3 linked regions of the Sus scrofa genome follow. The protein of the gene in region 1 interacts with the protein of each later gene in a biochemical or structural test. Links are inferred from orthologs where the notes say so. Each region holds a gene or a part of one and is shown in the gene's direction. Other genes may lie near its edges. The genes, in order: HDAC6, ISG15 and TPPP.

Region 1 (6,786 bases):
CAGACAGGAAGAGCTGTCACCCAAGAAAAACTCCCCTCCCAAGGTCCATTCTGACTCCCCGGCACTATTATCACAATTTCCCAGAGGAGGAAACTGAAAGGAAATAAGAAGGAAAAGAAAAAAAGAAAGGGAAACAAAAAAAGGAAAGGAGGAGTTTCCTGGCGGCCTAGTGGTTAAGGATTTGGCATAGTCACTGTGGCTGTGGCTCAAGATCCATCTCTGGCTTGGGAACTTCTGTGTGCCATGGAAAGGCAAAAGAAAGAAAAGGAAAGAAAAGGGAAGGTGTTCCCGTCATGGCTCAGCAGAAACGAATCTGACTAGCATCCACGAGGACGCAGGTTCAATCCCTTGCCTGGCTCAGTGGGTTAAAGGATTCGGCATTGCACTGAGCTCTGGTGTAGGTCTCAGACACGGCTCCAAACTGGTGTGGCTGTGGCTGTGGCTGTGGTGTAGGCCGGCAGCTACAGCTCCGACTGGACCCCTAGCCTGGGAACCTCCATATGCTGCGAGTGCAGCCCTAAAAAAAGAAGATGAAGAAAAGAAAAGAGAAAGTGAAAGAAAGAAAAGGAAGGAAGAAAATGCCCCAGAGGCCAGTATGTGGCCTGCAAAACCTAAAATATTTACTATCTGGCCCTTTACAGAAAAAGTTTGCCAACCTTTGTTGTACAGAAACCTCCCTTCTGACTATACAAAAAAAGTGGGTCTTGGCCCTTACAAGACTCCCTACTCTTTCACTTTGCAAGCATCACCTCAGAACGTTCCTCTGTGTTTATCACTGCATATACATGTTTTCTCTGGCGTACGTGGAGGTGTAAAGGTCTTTTAGCTGCGACCCTCTTCCACTGGGACAAAAGACACGTTCAGGTAGGAAAAGAGTGGAAGGGAAGACTAGGTTGAAACGGGTTTGCAAGAGTGTCAGAGGGCCCAGCTACTGGGCGGTGGGGCTGTCAATCTGTTGGTTAGTCAGCGATGCTGAACCCCAGACCCCTTATCTCTCCCGCCCCAGCCTACAGCCCGGTAGGAAATGGTGAAGAATGAGAGAGGGAGATTAGGAGGACAAACCGGCCTCCTGCGAGGCTGATATTCAGACATTTAGCCATGGGGTGGGAGAGAGTTGGGAGGGCGCATTGTGGGGGGGGGGCGCAACTCCCCCCTACCCATACACTTTCTATTCCAGCTTGCGTGCAGAGGTTACCCACTGGAGGGAGCAGACAGGAAGAGCTGTCACCCAAGAAAAACTCCCCTCCCAAGGTCCATTCTGACTCCCCGGCACTATTATCACAATTTCCCAGAGGAGGAAACTGAAGCACAGAGTCGTTCAGTAACTTGCCCAAAGTCACATGGCTAAGTCCCATAACCTCAGTTTCCTTATCTGCAAAGCAGCCTTAGTACTGGGAAGTACCTCATAGAACTGTGGCTTACGACAATGCCTGTCACATACAACTTGCTATCGTCACGATCATTCCCCCTTCCATTCCACCATCCATTTTCGCGGCAGACTATTAATAGCTAACATTTGGTGAGTGCTTCCTTGCGTACCACCTTAGTGAATATGAACTCAGAAAATTCTCACATTTGTCATCATCACCACTCCCTTTTTGGCCGCCACCAGCCTCGTCCAATTTCCACCGCGCTCCAGGCCCAGCCACCAGCCCGCCCGCGCTACGTCATCACGGCGCGCCGCGCGGGAAGCCAGGGGGCAGGGAGAAGACGCCCTTTCCTAACTCCCTCGCTTGCTTGCTTGCACTCTTGAGTCACCGCACGGTACAGTTGGCGCGAGTCCGGTGGGCTCCTAAGGTAACTGGACAGGGACAAAGAAACCGCGGTCACGACCGCCAGGGTGACAGCTGTGGCGATTGGGGGAGGGGAGAAGCTTGAGCCCGAGCGCCGCGTCAGGCAGCCGGCGCGCGCTTCACGCAGGCGCGGCACGGCCAGCGTCGCGCACTGACGCGCTGATCCGCCGTTTGTGCGTTCCGCTGGAGGCGCAAGGCCGGCTCTCCCCGGTGTGGGCGGGATCGGGGCGGGCTGTAGAGAGATCTGGCCCAATGGAAAAGAGAGGCTCAGGCACCCGCGGCCCTACAGGTCGCCGAGAAATTGGCGGCGCGCGCCAAGGGCGGAGTTTGAGAAAGGGGCTGCGCCAAGTGAGTGGAGGGATTCGTCAACGTCGACAGCGGGGGCGGGGAGGGGGGGGCGGGTCTGGGGGAGGGGCTCGGAAATGGCTGTAGGGGCTTGGGGAAGCGTTTGGGGTTGGGCCTGGGCAGGGGGTGGAGCCTGGCGGAAGGGAAAGGGCAGTCCCCTGAGGAGCTGGGCTCCTTGAAACGTTAGGGGCGGGATCTAGCCTAGTGGAAGGTGCCGGTCCAGCCCGATAAGGGGTGGAGTTAAGTGGATCGTTAAGGGTGGAGTCGGGGCCCGGGGCTGGGGCTGGCTGAGTGAAAGGGTGGGTGATTATCCTGGGAGATTGGCTGGCCAGGGCAGGTTTGCGAAGGGGTGGGGTCTGGGCGAGGCTTTGAGGAATGAAAGGATCTGGGAATGGGGCTTGATAGAGTGAAAGGGGCGGTGATTAGCTGGCAAGGGCTGGCTTAGATCAGGACTGGGCCAGGGGGTTAATTGCTCTGTGAAAGAGCCAGACCGAAAGGGTAAAGAATAGTGTAAAGGGGTGGAGCCTCGTGGAATGGGCGGGACCAAGTGGAATGGACACCCCCTTGGAGGGAGAGAGCCTTGAGAGAGGCGGAGTTTAGAGGTGGTGGGGAATAGATAGCCTAAGGGATGGAGGCTAGCGTAGGGGGCGGGGCCTGGGAAGGGGCTGGGATGAGGGGTCTTCAGGGCGCTCGGGGCCCCTTCTCAGTCACCTCCATCCCACCCCCCAGAACCGCGTCAGGGGTGAAGTCTCCCCAGCCATGACCTCCACCGGCCAGGATTCCACCACAACCAGGCAGCGAAGAAGTAGGCACAACCCCCACTCCCCCCCACACGACTCCAGCGTCACCTCGGTGAGGCCCCTGACCGGCCCTCTTGAGGGGGAGGGGGAGCAGTGGGCCGTGTACTGGACTCTGACCCTTCTCTCTGTTTGGCAGAAGCGAGGTGTTAAAAAGGGTGCCGGACTCCGCTCCAGCCCCAATCTAGCGGATGTAAAGAAGAAAGGCAGAATGAAGAAGCTTAGCCAAGCAGCCGAGCAAGACCTAATCGTGGGGCTCCAAGGGCTGGTGAGAGGGGGCCTGGCTGCAATGTAGCCTCCTGTGACAATCAAAACCGTGAGGTTCTCCATCCTGGAGAGTGTGGGAGGTTCCCTCTGACTCAGGCTCTCAATGCATCAGCCTTTCCCTTTTTTCTTTTTCCTCACAGGATCTGAACCTGGAGGCCAGGACACCGTCTGGCACTGGCTTGGTGTTGGATGAGCAGCTAAATGAATTCCACTGCCTCTGGGATGACAGGTGAGGCTGGCTTCTCCAGGCCATACTCAAATCACACAAACATACACCCTTAGAGCCCATTAGCAAGAATGAATCCTTTCTTACTCTAGCACATGACCTAGGGAGACGAGGCTCAGGCTCGAATGGGTTCTTTTCATTTAGTCAACACATATCTATTGAGAGCCTACTGTGTGCCCAGGGATGGTGATTACAGATGTATCAGACCAGATAGACAGGGATCCTTCTCCAGGAGCTGACAGGCGATAAGGAGAGCAGGTCATCAAACAGCCGCCAGCAGTGTGAGGTGTTTTCATGAAGAAGGACTCGAGACCAGGGGAGTCAGAAGTGTTTAATAGAGGACCCTAGACTAGCATCCAGGGTTCCCAGGAGGCTTCCTTGAAGAAGGGATGTCTGTGCTGATACAGAAGAGTCACACGTTGCAATCTATCAGCACATCCTTTTGGCTCTATGTTCAGAATCTCACCTCTCCTCTCCGCCTCCATTGCTGCCACCATCATCTCTGACCTAGACTTGCAGAGGCCTCCCACCCTCAGCCCTGCTGCCCATGCTCCCCCTCCACGCCAAAAATATGTATAAGATGATGTTCTCTCTCTTTAAGTCCTTCAAGGGCAAACTGTTGCCCTGAAGGTAAAGTTCACATTCTTCACCCCAGCCTCTTGGCCTCTAAGGTTCCACGTGATCTGGTTCCCTAGCACCTTGGTGACCTCATCAGCCAGTCCTCCCCCTCATTCGCTTTGCTTCGCTTCACCTCACACACACTGGTCCCTTTACTGTGCTTCCAACATGCCAGGCACTCCCTCCCCTCAGGCCTTTACTCTGGCCAATGCCCTTTCCAGAAATTCACTTCCACCTTCTCTCCCAGTTAACAGTCATGTCTCCAGGAGACCCTCAGAGAGGGCTTTGCTTGGCCACTCCCCTTCCCCTGAGCTTCAGATTATTCCTAGCCATGTCATTGTTTGTCTGTTGTTATACTTATGTATTCACCAGTTTAGTATCTATCACCCCTATCCCAGTGGAAGAGTCAGGATGTCAAAAGACTTTACTATTGAAGTTCCCTTCGTGGCTTAGTGGTTAACGAACTCAACTGGGATCCACGAGGATGCGGGTTCGATCCCTGGCCTCGCTCCGTGGGTTAAGGATCCAGCATTGCCGTGAACTGTGGTGTAGGCCGGCAGCTGCAGCTCCAATTCGACCCTTAACCTGGGAACTGCCCTGTGCTGTGGGTGCAGCCCTAAAAAGACCAGAATAAATAGGGTGGTCAGGGGAGGCCTCAGTACGCGAGTGGGGATCTGCAGGAGGTGAGGATGTGAGCTACAGAGAACATCTGGGAGAAGCTTGTCCTGGGCAGGGGGAAGTGCCAGCTGGGACCTACTCAGTTTGGTTGAGGAACACGGAGGAGACCAATGCAGGAGAAGCAGAGTGAGTGGCCGGGGGGCGGGGGAAGCAGGAGGAAATGAGGCTCAGGGAGGTGACGGGGTGGATGGTTAAGGGCCTTCTGGGGCGGGGGAGCACTTTGGCGCTTACCCTGAATGAGATGGGAGCCATGAGAAGGTTTGAGTAGTGGAGGGACGTGATCCGATTTGAGTTTTAACCATTGCAGAGAGAGGGACAAGGACAGGACCCCAGAGGCCGGTGAGGAGGTACCCGGGCGAGAGGTCATGGTAGCAGCGGTGGAGGTGATGAGGAGAGGGGCAGGCTCTGGATCTATTGTGAGAACCGAGCCAGCAGGCGCCAGGGCTGACTCCAGAGTTTCCGGCATCAGCAGCTGTGGACAGGTAGATGGGGAAAGGTGCGCAGGAGCAGACGTGCTCACCAGTGTCATATGTCTGTGTCTCTGTCAACCCAGCTTCCCTGAAGGCCCTGAGCGGCTCCATGCCATCAAGGAGCAGCTGATGCAGGAGGGCCTCCTGGACCGCTGCGTGTCCTTTCAGGTGAGTTCCCCAGCCGACACCCCGTATGGAGGGCAGCAGCTGGCAGGACCCAGGCACAGCCAGAGCCTTATAGTTCTTTATTCCTCATGTCTCCCCAGGCCCGATTCGCCGAAAAGGAGGAGCTTATGTTGGTTCACAGGTGAAGGCTTGGGTGCCTTGTAGGGATGGGGAGGAGGCTGCCCTGGGCCAACCAGGGCAGGCTGGATGCTTTGGCAAGAAATGTCATGGGCTCTGTGGCCTTGGGCAAGTCACTGAGCCTCTCTGAATCTCATTGTTGTCATTGCCTTTATCTTGGGGGCCAGTAAACCTGTGTGAGGTACTTAGAATGGTGCCTGATGTATCATCAGCCCGGATGAACTCTCGTTACTATAATCTGATGTGTAAACAGATGACGGGTATGTGGACAGAGTGATCAGGAGGTTCCTCCAGGGGGCTGCAGGAACCCAGGGTAAGGGGCCTGGTGAGATATGGCTCAAGGGACATTAACTTGGCAGAGAGGGTATCTCAGCTGAGCTTTAAGAAGAGAGAGAGGAGTTCCCTTGGGGCTCAGTGGATTAAGGATCCAGCCTTGTCACTGCAGCTGCTTGGGTGACTGTTGTGGCACGAGTTCAATTCCTGAATCCCTGTGGCCCAGGAACTTCCACATGCTGTGGGTGTGGCCAAAAAAAAAATAACTAAGAGGAGAAAAAGATGGAGTTCCCATCATGGCTCAGCGGTAACGAAACCAACTGGTATCCATGAGGACACAGGCTCAATCCCTGACCTTGCTCCGTGGGTGAGGGATCTCGCATTGCCATGAGCTGTGGTGTAGGTCACTGCCACGGCTTGGATCCCACATTGCTGTGACTGTGGTATAGGCTGGCAGCTGTAACTCCAATTGGACCCCTAGCCTGGGAACTTCCATATGCCACAGGTGCAGCCCTAAAAAGACCAAAAAAAAAAAAAAAAAAAAAGAGTGAGAGTGATACAAAGAAGCCTGAGGGAAGGGAGGTACAGATGGCTAGAACACTCTGGCCAAAGGCCTGGAGGTAGGATTTGGTGTGGCCAGAGCAGAGGGAAAGGGATGTTACTGGAAATGAGGCAGGCTAGGGATGAAGCAAGGACTGTGTTCTATATCCCAGTTATTCCCCCCATTGACAGCTGAAGGAGGCCTGTCTTGTCCAGGGGGTTGGTGCCTGGAGGAATCAGCTGGGAAGGGGACAGGGCCCTGGCTCAGGGACAAGGAGAGAGGCAGGCCTCTGAATCTCCTCTCCCATCCACCTACCCAGCCTAGAGTACATTGATCTGATGGAGACGACCCAGTACATGAATGAGGGGGAGCTCCGCGTCCTAGCAGACACCTATGATTCGGTTTATCTGCATCCGGTATGGCTGAGAGCTGTGAGGGCAGAGGGTGGAGGCAATGCCCATCCCCCATCCCCCCC
Region 2 (6,043 bases), on another chromosome or scaffold:
GCTTCCTTTTAGTTAATATTTATGTGATTCGTTTCTTTCCATCCTTTTACTTTCAAATTTCCTTTATGTCTATATTTTAGATAATTGGGATCTTCTATAAGCCACATAAAATCAGAATAGCTTTTTTTTTTTTTTGGCTGCACCTGTAGCATGTGGAAATTTCCAGCCCAGGGATTGATCCCATGCCATGCCAGCAAGTCACACTGCTGCAGCAACAACACTGCATCCTTAACCTCCTGCACCATAAGAGAACTCCTTATGTTTTTATTTTTAAACTTCTTTGTAACTGTTTTAATTTTTTAATTTCTTTATCTTTGTGCCATGTTTAATAATGGTCAGCTGAAGGAGATTGAAGGGTTTTCACATTCTTATTCTTTTGTTATATTTGCAGTTTTCTTTTTATAATACTAATATTTATGCAAGGAGTGTGTCAAGAAAAAATTTTCAATCATATGAAGAACCAATTTTTTCAACTGTTTTTGGCATGTTAGCAACTTTGGTACCCTATGAGATCATTTGGGGGAAGGGGAGGTGGAATGATCAATTTATATTCAAAATACTTTGTATTTTCCATTTATTTATTTATTTATTTCTTGGCTGCACCTGCAGCATGCAAAAGTTTGAGGGCCAGGGATGGAACCCACGCCACAGCAGTGACCCAAGCCACAGCCGCAACAGCACTGGATCCTTTAACCACTAGGCCACCAGAACTCATTACTTTCTTTTTAAAAGTTTATTTACTTTTTTTTTCTTTAAAATTATTTTTAAAGGGAAAAGAATAAAAGACAAAAATGTTTTTAAAATTATTTTTACTTTATTTTAGTTTGTTTGTTTCTCAATGAATTTATTACATTTATAGTTGTACAATGATCATCACAATCCAATTTTATAGGATTTCCATCCCACACCCCCAGCGCATCCCCCCACCCCTCAAACTGTCTCCTTTGGAAACCATAAGTTTTTCAAAGTCTGTGAGTCCGTATCTGTTCTGCAAAGAAGTACATTCTGTCCTTTTTTCAGATTCCACATGTCAGTGAAAGCATTTGATGTTGGTGTCTCATTGTCTGACTGAGTTCACTTAAAGCTATTTATTTTAAAAATTAATTATCTATTTATTTTTAGCAAACATATGCCTATAATGTGCAGTTTGTAATAGTGAAAATTTGAGAACAACCTAAATATTCAACAATATGGGATGGGTTAATTAATTACACTCTATTCTTTGCTCTTTTTCTGGCCACGCCTGCAGCATGTGGAAGTTCCCAGGCCACTGCAGTGACAACACCGAATCCTTAACACACTGAACCACAGGGGAACTCCTGATTGCATCCTATTCTCCAGTAGACTCCTGATGCTGTGGGGAACATACGCAGACACTAAAACAACTTGCATAAAAGTATCTATTACTATGGAAAGATGTTTAAACACATCTAAGAATGAAGCAGGTTACAAAACGGTGACAGTAGTTAGGAGGGTGTTTTTTTTTTGTTTTTGTTTGTTTGTTTGTTTGTTTTTTAGGGCTGCACTCACGTCCCAGGCTAGGGGTCGAATCAGAGCTACAGCTGCCGGCCTACACCACAGCCACAGCCACACAGGATCCGAGAGGCATCTGCAACCTACACCATAGCTCAGAGCAACGCCGAGTCCTTAACCCACCGTGCTGGGCCAGGGATGGAACCCATGTCACAGCGCTCCCAAGACCGTCGATCCCATTGCACCACAGCGGGAATTCCATGCAACATAAACTTAACCGCTTTAAAGTATGTAATTCAGTGGCCTTTAGCATATTTACAGTGTGGCACAGCCGTCACTTGATGCAGTTCTGAAACATTTCACCATCCCAAAGGAGACCTGTGTCCTTCGCTGCCACTCTTCCCCCCTCCCCCAGCCCCTGGCTACCACCGGACAACTTTGAGTCTCCATGGACTGGCCGCGTGTGGCCATTCCACAGAGTCACACAATATGTGACCTTCTGTGTCTATCTTCTTTCACTGAGCACCATATTTTCAAGGTTCCCTCACAGTGTAGCCTGTGGCAGTGCTTCACTCGTTTTTATGGCTGAAGAGTGTTCCACCCTAAGGATGGGCCATACTTTGTTTTTGTTTTTTTGGTTTTTTTTTTTTTTTGTCTTTTTGCCATTTCTCTGGCCGCTCTCGCGGCACATGGAGGTTCCCAGGCTAGTCGACCGGCCTAGGCCAGAGCCACAGCAACACAGGATCCGAGCCACGTTTGCAACCTACACCACAGCTCACAGCAACGCTGGATCGTTAACCCACTGAGCAAGGGCAGGGACCGAACCCGCAACCTCATGGTTCCTAGTCGGATTCGTTAACCACTGCACCACGACGGGAACTCCAGGATGGGCCATACTTTGGTGAGGCCTCCACCTGCTGATGGATTTGGTTCCTCCCCCCACCCCATTTCTATGACTCCTCTACTGTGAACGGAGTTGCTGTTAACATTTCTGTGCAAGCATTTGTTTGAACACCTGTCTTCGGGTCTCTAGGGCCTGTGCCCAGAAATGCAATTGCTGAATCACATGAAAATTCTGTTTAACATTTTGAGGATTGACTAGACTGTTTTCCACAGTGGCTGCACCACTTCTCATTCCCATCAGCAATGTATGAGGATTCCAATGTCTCCACACCTTCACCAGCACTTGTTACTGTTCTCTTTTTAATCGTTGTTATTATTATTGTCATGCTAGTGGGTGTGACATGGTATCTCGCTGTGGTTTTGATGTGCATTTCCTTGATGGCCAGTGATGTTGAGCATCTTTTCATGTGGTTGTTGGCCATTTACGTATTTTCTATTTTAAACTGTCTGTGAAGTCTTTTGCCCAACTTTTAAATGAGTTGTTTATCTTTTTGTTGTTGAGTTGTAAACGTTCCTTATGTATTATGGATACTAGGCCCTTAACTGACACATGACTTGCAAATATTTTCTCCCATTTTGTAGATAGTTTTTTTACCTTGCCAATAGTATTCGTGAGTTCATTTTCATGGAAAATAAAAGACACATCTCTTTCATTTAAAAAATCTGAATAAAAAACCTGAATAAATATTGTCATAAACCAATGGTTGTTATCTCTGGCTTGGTTGGACTGTCACTATGTTTTGCTATTTCTGAATTAACCCCGGCAATGATTTCCAAGGTTCCTAATTTTGCAAACTGGTAAATGGAAAGTGAAAGTTGCCAATTGTTAGCTCTCGGTATTATGATGCTATTTGTGCATCGTGAAAAGGATGTGAGGCACTGGGCGTGCCGGGGGTTTCTGAACACGTACCTCTGGAGGCGGGGATGCTGTCGTGTGCCTGGCTGGCAGCTGGAGAGACTCTGTACCCCCTTCCTCAATGTCCTGTCATTGCTATTTGTTTTTTCCTGCCATGCACTCCGGAGCCTGCCTTGGGAAAAGGAAACCGAAACTGAAGCCGATTTCGATTTCGGCTCCCGCGGTGGTTGGCTCCTGGACTCCGCCCTCTGACGCGGCTGCTCAGGCTTTTTAAAGGGCTGAGCCGCCACGGCTGAAGAGCAGCGGCGAGCTGAGCGGCAGCGACGCAGAGCGCACAGAGGCAGCGAAGCAGAGCTCACAGAGGACCTGTCGCCAAAGCCCACGGCCATGGTGAGGGGGGTTTGACAGGTGGGGCAGGTGGCCTCTCCCAGGGGCAGAACACCTATGTGTACCAGGCAGACAGAGCTGCTCAGGGCCCGCCAGGTTCCTAAGCATGAGGGGAGGGATGGGGCTCCTCCTGACGTCAGGGTCTGTGTCCTCAGAGGGCTGAGATCCCTTGGGGTCGGCACAGGGAGGCATCTTAGCTGGTGAAGGGAGGTGACATGATGGTTGTGGGTGGTGGCCATTCTAGAAATGCCCCCTTGCCCTCTCCAGTGCCCGGGGTCCCCCTCCTGGAGGGTGGGGAGGGTAGGGAGGAGGGAGCAGCACTCCTGGGCTCTAGGAGCTTTTGCCCCACTATGTGGTGGCCCTGGGACTGGTGACAGGGTCTCTGAGCCTGTGTGACGCCCACAGGGTAGGGAACTGAAGGTGAAGATGCTGGGAGGCAAGGAGATCCTGGTGCCCTTGAGGGACTGCATGATGGCATCGGACCTGAAGCAGCAGATCGCCCGGGAGATCGGTGTGCCCGCCTTCCAGCAGCGTCTGGCTCACCCAGCCGGCAATGTGCTTCAGGATGGGGTGCCCCTGGTCAACCAGGGCCTGGGCCCAGGCAGCACAGTCCTGTTGATGGTGCAAAGCTTCAGAGACCCACTGAGCATCCTGGTGAGGAACGACAAGGGTCGCAGCAACGCCTATGAGGTCTGGCTGACGCAGACAGTGGCTGAGCTCAAGCAGCAGGTGTGTCAGCAGGAGGGCGTGCAAGCTGACCAGTTCTGGCTGACTTTCGAGGGGAAGCCCATGGAGGATGAGCACCAGCTGGGGGAGTATGACCTCAAGCCTATGTGCACCGTGTATATGAATCTGCGCCTGCGGGGGGGCGGGACAGGGCCAGGGGAGCACCTCACCGAGTGCTAGTAATAAAGCTGTGGCAAAATTGAGTGTAACAAAGCGTCCATTCTTCTCTGGCCAGCACCATCTCGGTGTCAGTCCTCCATTCTGCACCCATTTTGGTGAGACAGGAGGTGAGATGGAGGAGGGAGTGGGATGAGGGGACCCAGAGGTTGCTGGGTGGTCACCAGACTAGAGTTGCCAAGTTAAGGGACAAGCCTTGTGGGATCAAAATGGTGCCCCACACACACCAGAGAAATCGAAGATGTGTCCCCACATCTTTGGGAAATTACCTTCTAGAGAAATAAAAAGAGGCACAGCCGCTAGAGCCCATCCTTGTCTTCCTGCTGTGCCGTGGTCAGCTCTGCAGCCCCACATCTGGGTCAGCAGATAGCACAGGGAGGAGAAGGCCTGGCCAGGTGAGTGCCCCTGGAAGCAGTGGGGGCATGAGCCCCTGTGGCCTGTCTGGGTGAGCTGTGAGGGAAGCCAGCCTCCCCCGTGAGCCCCACAGGAGCCAGGCTGAGTCAGCCCTGGACATGGGGGAGGCAGGAGCACAGGACGTGGACCTCTCTGGGCATGGCTCTGAGGACCTCTGCTTTCGGGCTCTTCAGGGCATTTGGCTGAAGACCCAGAAGCCTCCTTCCTGGTCTGTGGGGGTCCACAGCTGAGTGGGGGAGGGGGAGCAGACCTGCCTGTGACAGATATATGTGTAGATATGCAGGTGAGGGTGCATCGGCGGGGGTGCTCCTGGCTCCAGCCTCACTTCCTGCACCTCCACCCCCACCTCTGTGTCATACCGTAACTTAGTGTGAGCACACACCCTCAGCGCCACCCTCCTCTTTTGAATCCCTCCACCAGGGTCTGGGCGGAGTAGCGTCCTCCTCCAGAGGGGTCTCTTCCGCTGCTCATCCTCCGTTGCCTCTGGCTCCGAGATCCACGGCCGGCTTGCGTGAGGGTGTGCGCGGCGGACCCAGTCCTAGAGAGACAGAAGGGATCTCCTCTCCCCGCCCCCCGCCCCCCACCACCTTCATCTAGGTCATGCTCTAAGTTAGCGGGTCTGGATCTCAGCATATACCCTTCTCGGCTTACCTTCGGTACCTAGCGGAGCTCCGGGAGCGGGCGAGGGGGCGTGGCCGGCCGTCCACTGCTGACACGCGATTGCAGCCTCGTGGCGGCAGAGGGAGCCCGTCTCCCTGCAGAGGGGCCGGAGCTTACCGGGAGGGGGAGGTGGGCGGGCCTCTACTCCCTGTGACCAATCGCTGCAGCCCCCGGCCCGCATTGGTCCCAGCAGGAAGGGGGTCCCGGGCCGGCCGAGCTTCCGTCCCCAGTTCCAACGAGGGGCTGGGGTCCCCAGTCAGTCCCTCCTGCTGGGGGCGGGGCACTGCCCTGCAGGGCTCAAGAGGCGGTGGGGCCCCGGATCTGGCAGCCCCTCCCCGCAGCCGGGGAGTCCTCGCCGCCCCAGCCCCGGCGCAGCCTGGAGCCCCTTGGAAGTCCCGTCACGTCGCCTCCAGATTATGCATTAACCCGATTTCAGCCGCATTTCCT
Region 3 (6,786 bases), on another chromosome or scaffold:
TGAGCCTCCCACCCCTTCCTGCCCACAGATGCCCTCTGCCTCCTGGGTGGTCCTGGGGGCAGGGACCCAGGGTCCAGAGCCCGAGACGGCCAGGCACGGCTGGGGGGAGACAGGACTGTGCCCAGGGACGTCTCCTGGCGGGCTGTGGGACTCCTGGGGGAGCCAGGAAAAGACCCCATATCAGTCCCTGGGGAACCGAAGGACTGGGGGCTCGACCCGAGGTCAGCCTGGATTCCCCACATGGGCCCTAAATCCAGCAAGTGTGCCCTTGCAGAGACACGGGGAGAAAGCGGACGTGGGAGAAGGCCACGTGAGGACAAAGGCCGAGGCTGGAGCTGTGAGGCCTCGAGCCCAGGGGCGCCTGGGCCCCCCGGCTGGGGGAGGCAGGCAGGGTCACCGGAGCCTTTTGAGGGAGCACGCCTGTCACCACCATGGCTTTGGACTTCTTTGGCTCTTTCGCTGGGACTGTGAGCGTCTCTGCTGTTTAGGCTGCCGGGGCCTGGCGGTTCTTTTCCTGTGACCCTGAGAAACAAGCACAGGGTCCTACCAGTGCTCACAGGCCAGTCTCCATGTGGCTGCCGTGCACCCGCCAACCGCGAGCTGGGCTTTCCCACCTGGAGGGTGGACGGAGACGGTCCAGGTCGTGTCAGGGACCAAGGACCAGGGTGCAGAGTCACCCCCACAAAAGGGGCTCCAGAAGGGCAGCCACGGCGGAGAAGGGTCTTCTGCCCGCAAACCGGGATGTAACCTGCCATCCCACGGCAAGGCGACCCTTCCAGTCTGGTAAGAGCCGATGCCACTATTTCTGGCGCTTTTCCGAGTGTGGCCGGACCTGACCCTATGCTGTGAAAGGGCCCGCCTCCCAAGGACCAAAGCTCAAGTTCATCAGCAGACAACCAGCCTCAAGAGAGGGACAGCGGCCACCATGCTGGCTTCCGGTGGTCTGGACCGTGGGGCGGGGCCTCGGAGGGCTGTGGCTCCACCCTTCCTGCCTGGCGCAGGTGTGCCAGGAGCCGGCCCACTGCTCGCCAGGTCTGGCCGGACTTCCCCTGACTCCGGTCCTGGACCGTTTCGGCTTCGGAGGCCTGGCGCCCACCTCCCAGCGCAATTCTACCCTTGGCAGAATCACCAGGTCCACCTCACAGCCCCTGCACAGGTTCGGAAAAATGCACTAACAGAGTCGCCATTTGGCTAATACGATGATTGGAACATAACACTGAGTGGAGTTTTTCATTGTTTCCTGCACATCGTTAACAGCGGCTTCAGCAGCGCTGGGGGCTCTGTGGGTCCGAGAAGGTGCAGCCAGCTTCAACCTGAAGAGTCAGGGTCATGAGGAGCTGGCCACAGGGCGATCTCACGTTTTCCCTGTTCTTCCAACGCCACGAGTTTGGATTTGCCTGGTCTCTGGAGTATGGGATTTTTCAGGGCAACGATAATTAGAAGCCCATCTTCACCTGGTGTTGAGCAGAAGTAGCAACCAGAGGAGTTGAGAGGAAGGCACTGGGACCCAGGACCACGGTGGGGATAGGGGCTCAGCCTGCCCCTGGCTCCCCAGGTATCCTCCGGGCTGGCGGTCTGTTGGACAGCAGCACCTCAGCTTCCTCTGCTGCCTTTGCCGGGCTGCCTGGCCTGAACGGCATCCCAGGTTAGGTCAGAAGCTGCTGCAGGTGCTTGTGACTCAGAGACCTGAGAGCAGAGCAGAGCCTGGGCTTGGGACGTGGGGTCCCTGCAGGCGGGGTGGAGCACAGAGGCTGAATGTATGTTTGGGGGTTTAGTTCTGCATCTGGGAGAGTGGGGGTCTGCAGCTAGATGGGCCGTAGAGTGTGCGTGTCTGTGTGTGTGTAAGGTCTGGGGGCTTTGCAGCCAGGAGACGAGCTCAGATCCTTGGCCAGCTCCGGGTCAGGGCAGTGGAGCTGTAAGTGACCTAAAGACCACCCTTTTCCCCGAAGCCGGGCATCCTGAGAGTGCAGGGGCGGCCGGTGGGGAGGGTACAGGAGGCGAGGAGGAGCCGGGGGAAAGAGCCCTTGAGAACTGCACCCTTCACACAGGTAACCTGCAGGGGTACACGTCGTCCTTGGGAAGATGGCAGGCCTCCAGCTGGTGCGGGGGACCCAGATGGGGACGCAGCTCCCGCTTGCGCCCCGGAAGGAGGCGCGGCTGCACAGCCTCCGGTGCCCGGCACGGATTCTCTTCCCCGACACCGGCCGACACCACCCAGGCGCTCGCCTCACAGTCCTGCTGTTCCCCAAACTCTCGCGCATCGGCCCCACTCCGTCCCACCCTGCGCCCCCTCCGTGGGGTCTGAGCCTCGCCACCGCGGACCCCCTCGTTGGCCCGAGCATCTCTGTGAAGAGGCCAGCACCTGGCCGCCCCACTCAGGCCTGTCCGCAGACCCATCCGTCCTCCCGCGTCCACGGTCCGGGAGGGCATGCTGGGGCCGCATAGGCACTGCCCCCGCCCCGCGGAGCTGTGTGGCCCGGAGGGCACGAGCCGATCCGCCTTGTAAGGCAGACGCTGCGCTCAAACGACCTCGGCGAGCAGGCGTCCCGAGAGGGGGGCGGGGGCGGAGCCGCCGAGAGCGCTAGGGGCGGGCCTGGGGGGCGGGCCTGGGGGGCGGGGCCTGGGCTGGGGGCCGTGAGAGCCAGTGAGGACCGGTCAGTGGAGCCGGGGGTGGGGGCCCGAGGGGGCTCCTCCAATGAGAGCGCGGGGCGGGTAGGGCGTGGGGAAGGACGTGCGTGGAAGGGGGAGCCGGGGGCGGGCCGGAAGGCGGGGCCGGAGGGCGGGGGCGGGGGCGGGGGCGGGGCCGGGGGCGGTGCCGCGAGAGCAGGCCGGGCGCCCGGTCGCGCGCGGGAGAGTCGCGGAGGCGCCGCTGCTGCAGTCGCCGCATCGCCGAGGTAAGTGGCCGCGGGCCGCTCCGTCCTGAGGCGCGGTGCACAGGGCCCCCTGCTTCTCCGGCCACCTGCGCCCGCAAGCCGGGCACACCACTCATTCCCGGCGCCGGCCCGCGCCCCTTTCCCGAGGCTCCGCGCGTCCGTGCGCCGGGCGCCCTGGGGCTGCCAGCTATCCGCGCGGAGCTCGGAATCCTGCAGCCGCGTCGGGGCGTGGGTCTGGGGACGCGCTGGGAGCGAGCTGAGACAGCGCGCGATGCAGAGGGCAGGTTTATAATTGGGCCCTAAATAAGGCGCTTTCGCCTTTCTTTGCGTCCGTGCGTAAGGCGACAGAGGACTGCCCTTCCAGCCCCTTCCCTCTCCGTGTCCAGCTGTATGAACACGTTCACATGCCCAGGCCTGGCGTGTCGGCTGCAGGCGAGACGGCGGGAAACGCGGGCTTAGAGGGTCTGAAATGAAGCCATTGTCATAGAGCATGGATTTTAGGAGATCCAGGGCCACGGAGGGCCATTTGTGTCCACGGGCCCAGAATGCGCGTGATCATTTGGCGAGGGCTCCGGCGCCATTGCCGGTGCAGGTGAGAGTGTCAGGCCTACAGTTTGCAAATCCAGAAGCTTCCCCCGAGGGGTGTTATGTTTTCTTATCGCATGTGGGCACGGAACCGGCAATCAAGATAAAGAGGTTGGCTGCCAATTTATTTTTTTCCACACACCTAACCCCGCCTTCGAAGGAGGATCTAGGGAAACTCTTTATTCTGCGGTTTCAGTTATGTAAATGAAGCCTTGAAATGGGTGAGAAGTGAACTCATTCGGCTACCCTGCCTGTGACTGCTGTTTTGATAGGCGTTTGGGGTTCTCTGAAGATGAGACACCTTTTAGGATAAGCTGGCTATGCTGTCATCCATCCGTGTGTTTATTGGCTGATTCTGCTGACATTTATGGGATACGTGCATGGTCCCTGGGGGAGGCGGGCGAAAGGACCTAGCTCCCACGGCCCCCACTGCTGCCTCCAGGACTCCCCACGGCCAGTCTCAGGCACGGTGAACTGGGGGGGTGGGGGGTGGCGCTCCCCAGAGCCTAGACCAGCCCCTGACGCTTAGGAGGGGTCAGTAAACCCTGACCTGAACTACAGGGCACTGGGACGGCATCCGGACGGAGCAGTGGGGCTGGAGAGGGGAGGCTTGGAACAGGCAGGAAATGGGGGGCAGCAGTGAGACAGACGCCTTGCAGTGCCTTTAGCTGGGCTCCCATCTCTGGTACCAGCCCCTGTTCCCAGCACTGGGCAGGGATGGCAGGGCTCTGTGATGACTGAGGGGAGGAGGGGTGTGGTGAATTTCCTGGGAGCGGCTGCAAAGTGCAGGCCACACGAGAGTTGCGTGTTTTCCTGGGGAAAGGGTCTGTAGAGCTTTCATGATTTCCAGAAGGATCTAGACTCAGAAAGGGACCGTCATTTAAACACTGCAGTAAAAATTCTTCTCTGTCTTTTCCGAATGATGAAGTGACGGAGACTAGAGGAAGCTGTGTTGGGTTTATTCTTATTTCCTAGGTGTTGTTTGGCTGATCTTCGTGAATCCTTTGAAGTTGCAATAAATAAACTGTTTTTACTAGATCCAAGGTTATAGATGCTCATTGTGGGAAATGTGCAAATCACAGGAGAATTTCATGTAGAGAATTAAAATCACTTATCACTGATTGAGGTTTAGGAGAAACGTTTGAGCAGCCAAACTGTCCTCCGAGGCAGTGTCCACGTGGCCTCCCTGGTGGGCAACGAGCCGCTCCCTGCAGGAGAGGCTGAGAATTAAAAGCTTCCTCGGGGAGAGGCTGTGCTGACTTAGCGCCAGGCCTATTTATAGCTGGTGATGTTGCTGGTGAGGCTGGAGGAGCATGTAGAAGATGCCATCTGGGGATACAGGGGCCACCAGGGACGGGGCCCTGCTGCACCTTGAAGTATCAGGTCCTCCTTGGGCCGTGAGGTTCATGCCCTGAGCCCAGCCTGGCGCCGTCCAGAAACCACGCCAGCTGAGGGTGCCGGGCACTGTGCCCAGTCCACCTGAGCCCACAAACCCCGGACCACGCAGACGCTGGGCTTTGGCAGGAGAATCAACACACACCCACCGCCCACCCCTTCAGCAGCAGGTGTTCACTGGGCGGGAAGGCTCAGGGCTGCCTCGGTGGGGCCCAGCTGCGTCTGGGGCTCAGATGTGGTTCCAGCCCCCGTGGGAGCTCATTCCCCGCTTGTAGCCCTCCTGGTGGGGAGGTAACCAGGGCGACAGCACCCTCAGAAACCCCAGACCGGGCATCCCAGCTCAGCAGCGCCTCCTCGGGAAGAAATGGCCTTGCTGCCCCCCGCCCCCCGGGGTCTCGGGGAGGGCGCCGGTTCTGTGACCTGCAGCCCCGAGGGGCAGCTTCCCACAAGGACGAGGCAAGCCCCACGTCTGCTCCCTGATGGGGAGGCGGCCTGTCTTCAGGCTCCCGATTTCCCCTTCACCGCGGCGGCAGAGAGACCCAGGTGTAACCCAGGGTCTGAATGTGTGACGGCTCGCCCTTCTTTGGTGAGACAGTGTGGAAAGGCTTTCACGGGGTGTAAGGACATGGGGGTGGGGGGGCAGGGCGGGTGAGCTCACGGGTGGGGGCGGGGGCGGGGGCGGGCGCGTTCACACCCGCTCCGCCTTTTCTTGGTGACATCTGTGAGCCGGAGGGACTGGCTCTGCCTTTCCTCCAGCCTTTTCTTGCCCCCTCGCCTCCTGCTACTGCTGCCAGTGCCCCCATGTCCCCACCGTGTCCCCCGCCCGCCCGTCCCTGTCCCACTTTGGGCTACAGTTCCCGAATCTCAGCCCATGGCCCCATTAAGCCTACACGGCCTCTGCCCTGGGCACTTCTCGCTCCAGTGGGAGCATCCTGAAAGCCAGCATCCCCTAGCCCTCTGGGCGACCCCGTTCAGGCCTCACCCGCCCCACTGCCTCGTGTCGCCGGCCTCTGGGTGTAAGTGGGCCGTGGGCCTGGAACCTGCGAGGGGCCGGCTGGGAACCCCGCTCTCTTTGTGGGAAGGGGGTTCACCTCCCACCCGCCGAGCTGTGCTGGGTGCTCCACGGCCCGAGGTCCCTGCCCCAGCTTTCCCCTTCTCCCCAGGGCGTCAGCACTGAGGTCACGGCTGCCTCCTCTGTCCCCGGGGGAGGGGCTCCACCTGCAGGGTGGTTTCGCCACCTAAGCCTGTTCCCCAGAACTGGCTTGGTGTTTGATCTCCGTGCCTCTCAAGTCCCCGAGCAGGGCTCTTCTGTGTGGGTGCGGCCCTCCGTCTGAGCCCCTGACCGGCTGCCGCGTTCCACCCCGTGAACCACTACCATCCACCCATCTGTCGTCGGGGCCTGGGCCTTGGGGTCGTTTCCTGCCCTGGGGGCCCCGTGTGCAGGTGTTCTGTTGCGTAGAGACCACGAGAGCAGGTGCCAGGTGCTGGGCCGTCTGGCGGGCAGCGCCCTGCTCGGCGGGCAGCTCTCCGGAGGCCGGGCGCCAGCGCCTGCATTTTGGGGCTTGGGCAGCAAGCCCGTGGGTTGCGGGGCGTCCGGATGTGCTGAGGCCTCGTCCAGCCCTTCTCGTCTCTGCGGAGGTGCCCTTTCTTGCTGATGGGCGGGTTCTTCACAGGTGCTGGAGTGTGGGTCCCGTGCACCCCGCGGCCGCCGTCTCACTCCCTTAGCGGTGCCCTTGGACGAGCAGAAGGGCTTCGCTTTCATCGGCTGCGTTTAAGAACCTTGTCCTTCGGGGACCGTGGTTTTCGAGTCCTTTCCCACCCCGAGGGCGGCAGTGCCTTCCGAAGACTTCGTGACGGTGCCTCTCCTGCTGCATCAGTACCCGAGTGAGCCCTCGTTTCTTCTGTGCGGCTGGCCCGTCAAGCCTCCCCTTTT

Evidence for each region.
Region 2: the proteins of HDAC6 (region 1) and ISG15 form a complex in vitro, tested with the Homo sapiens proteins (3 studies listed by BioGRID). The link is inferred for Sus scrofa from reciprocal best matches to the Homo sapiens genes HDAC6 and ISG15.
Region 3: the proteins of HDAC6 (region 1) and TPPP form a complex in vitro, tested with the Homo sapiens proteins (2 studies listed by BioGRID). The link is inferred for Sus scrofa from reciprocal best matches to the Homo sapiens genes HDAC6 and TPPP.

The regions. Positions count from the first base shown.
Region 1 is NC_010461.5:42,916,265-42,923,050, forward strand, and holds the start of HDAC6 (histone deacetylase 6), read left to right. Parts: upstream 1-1,948; 5' UTR 1,949-2,045; coding exon 2,046-2,141; intron 2,142-2,283; exon of another isoform or gene 2,284-2,437; intron 2,438-2,448; exon of another isoform or gene 2,449-2,475; intron 2,476-2,867; coding exon 2,868-2,990; intron 2,991-3,074; coding exon 3,075-3,203; intron 3,204-3,342; coding exon 3,343-3,431; intron 3,432-5,277; coding exon 5,278-5,362; intron 5,363-5,460; coding exon 5,461-5,501; intron 5,502-6,630; coding exon 6,631-6,727; intron 6,728-6,786.
Region 2 is NC_010448.4:63,359,658-63,365,700, forward strand, and holds ISG15 (ubiquitin-like protein ISG15), read left to right. Parts: upstream 1-3,543; 5' UTR 3,544-3,619; coding exon 3,620-3,622; intron 3,623-4,024; coding exon 4,025-4,525; 3' UTR 4,526-4,554; downstream 4,555-6,043. Other genes in the region: uncharacterized protein LOC110261384, read right to left, coding at 5,106-5,474.
Region 3 is NC_010458.4:79,532,228-79,539,013, forward strand, and holds the start of TPPP (tubulin polymerization-promoting protein), read left to right. Parts: upstream 1-2,876; 5' UTR 2,877-2,894; intron 2,895-6,786.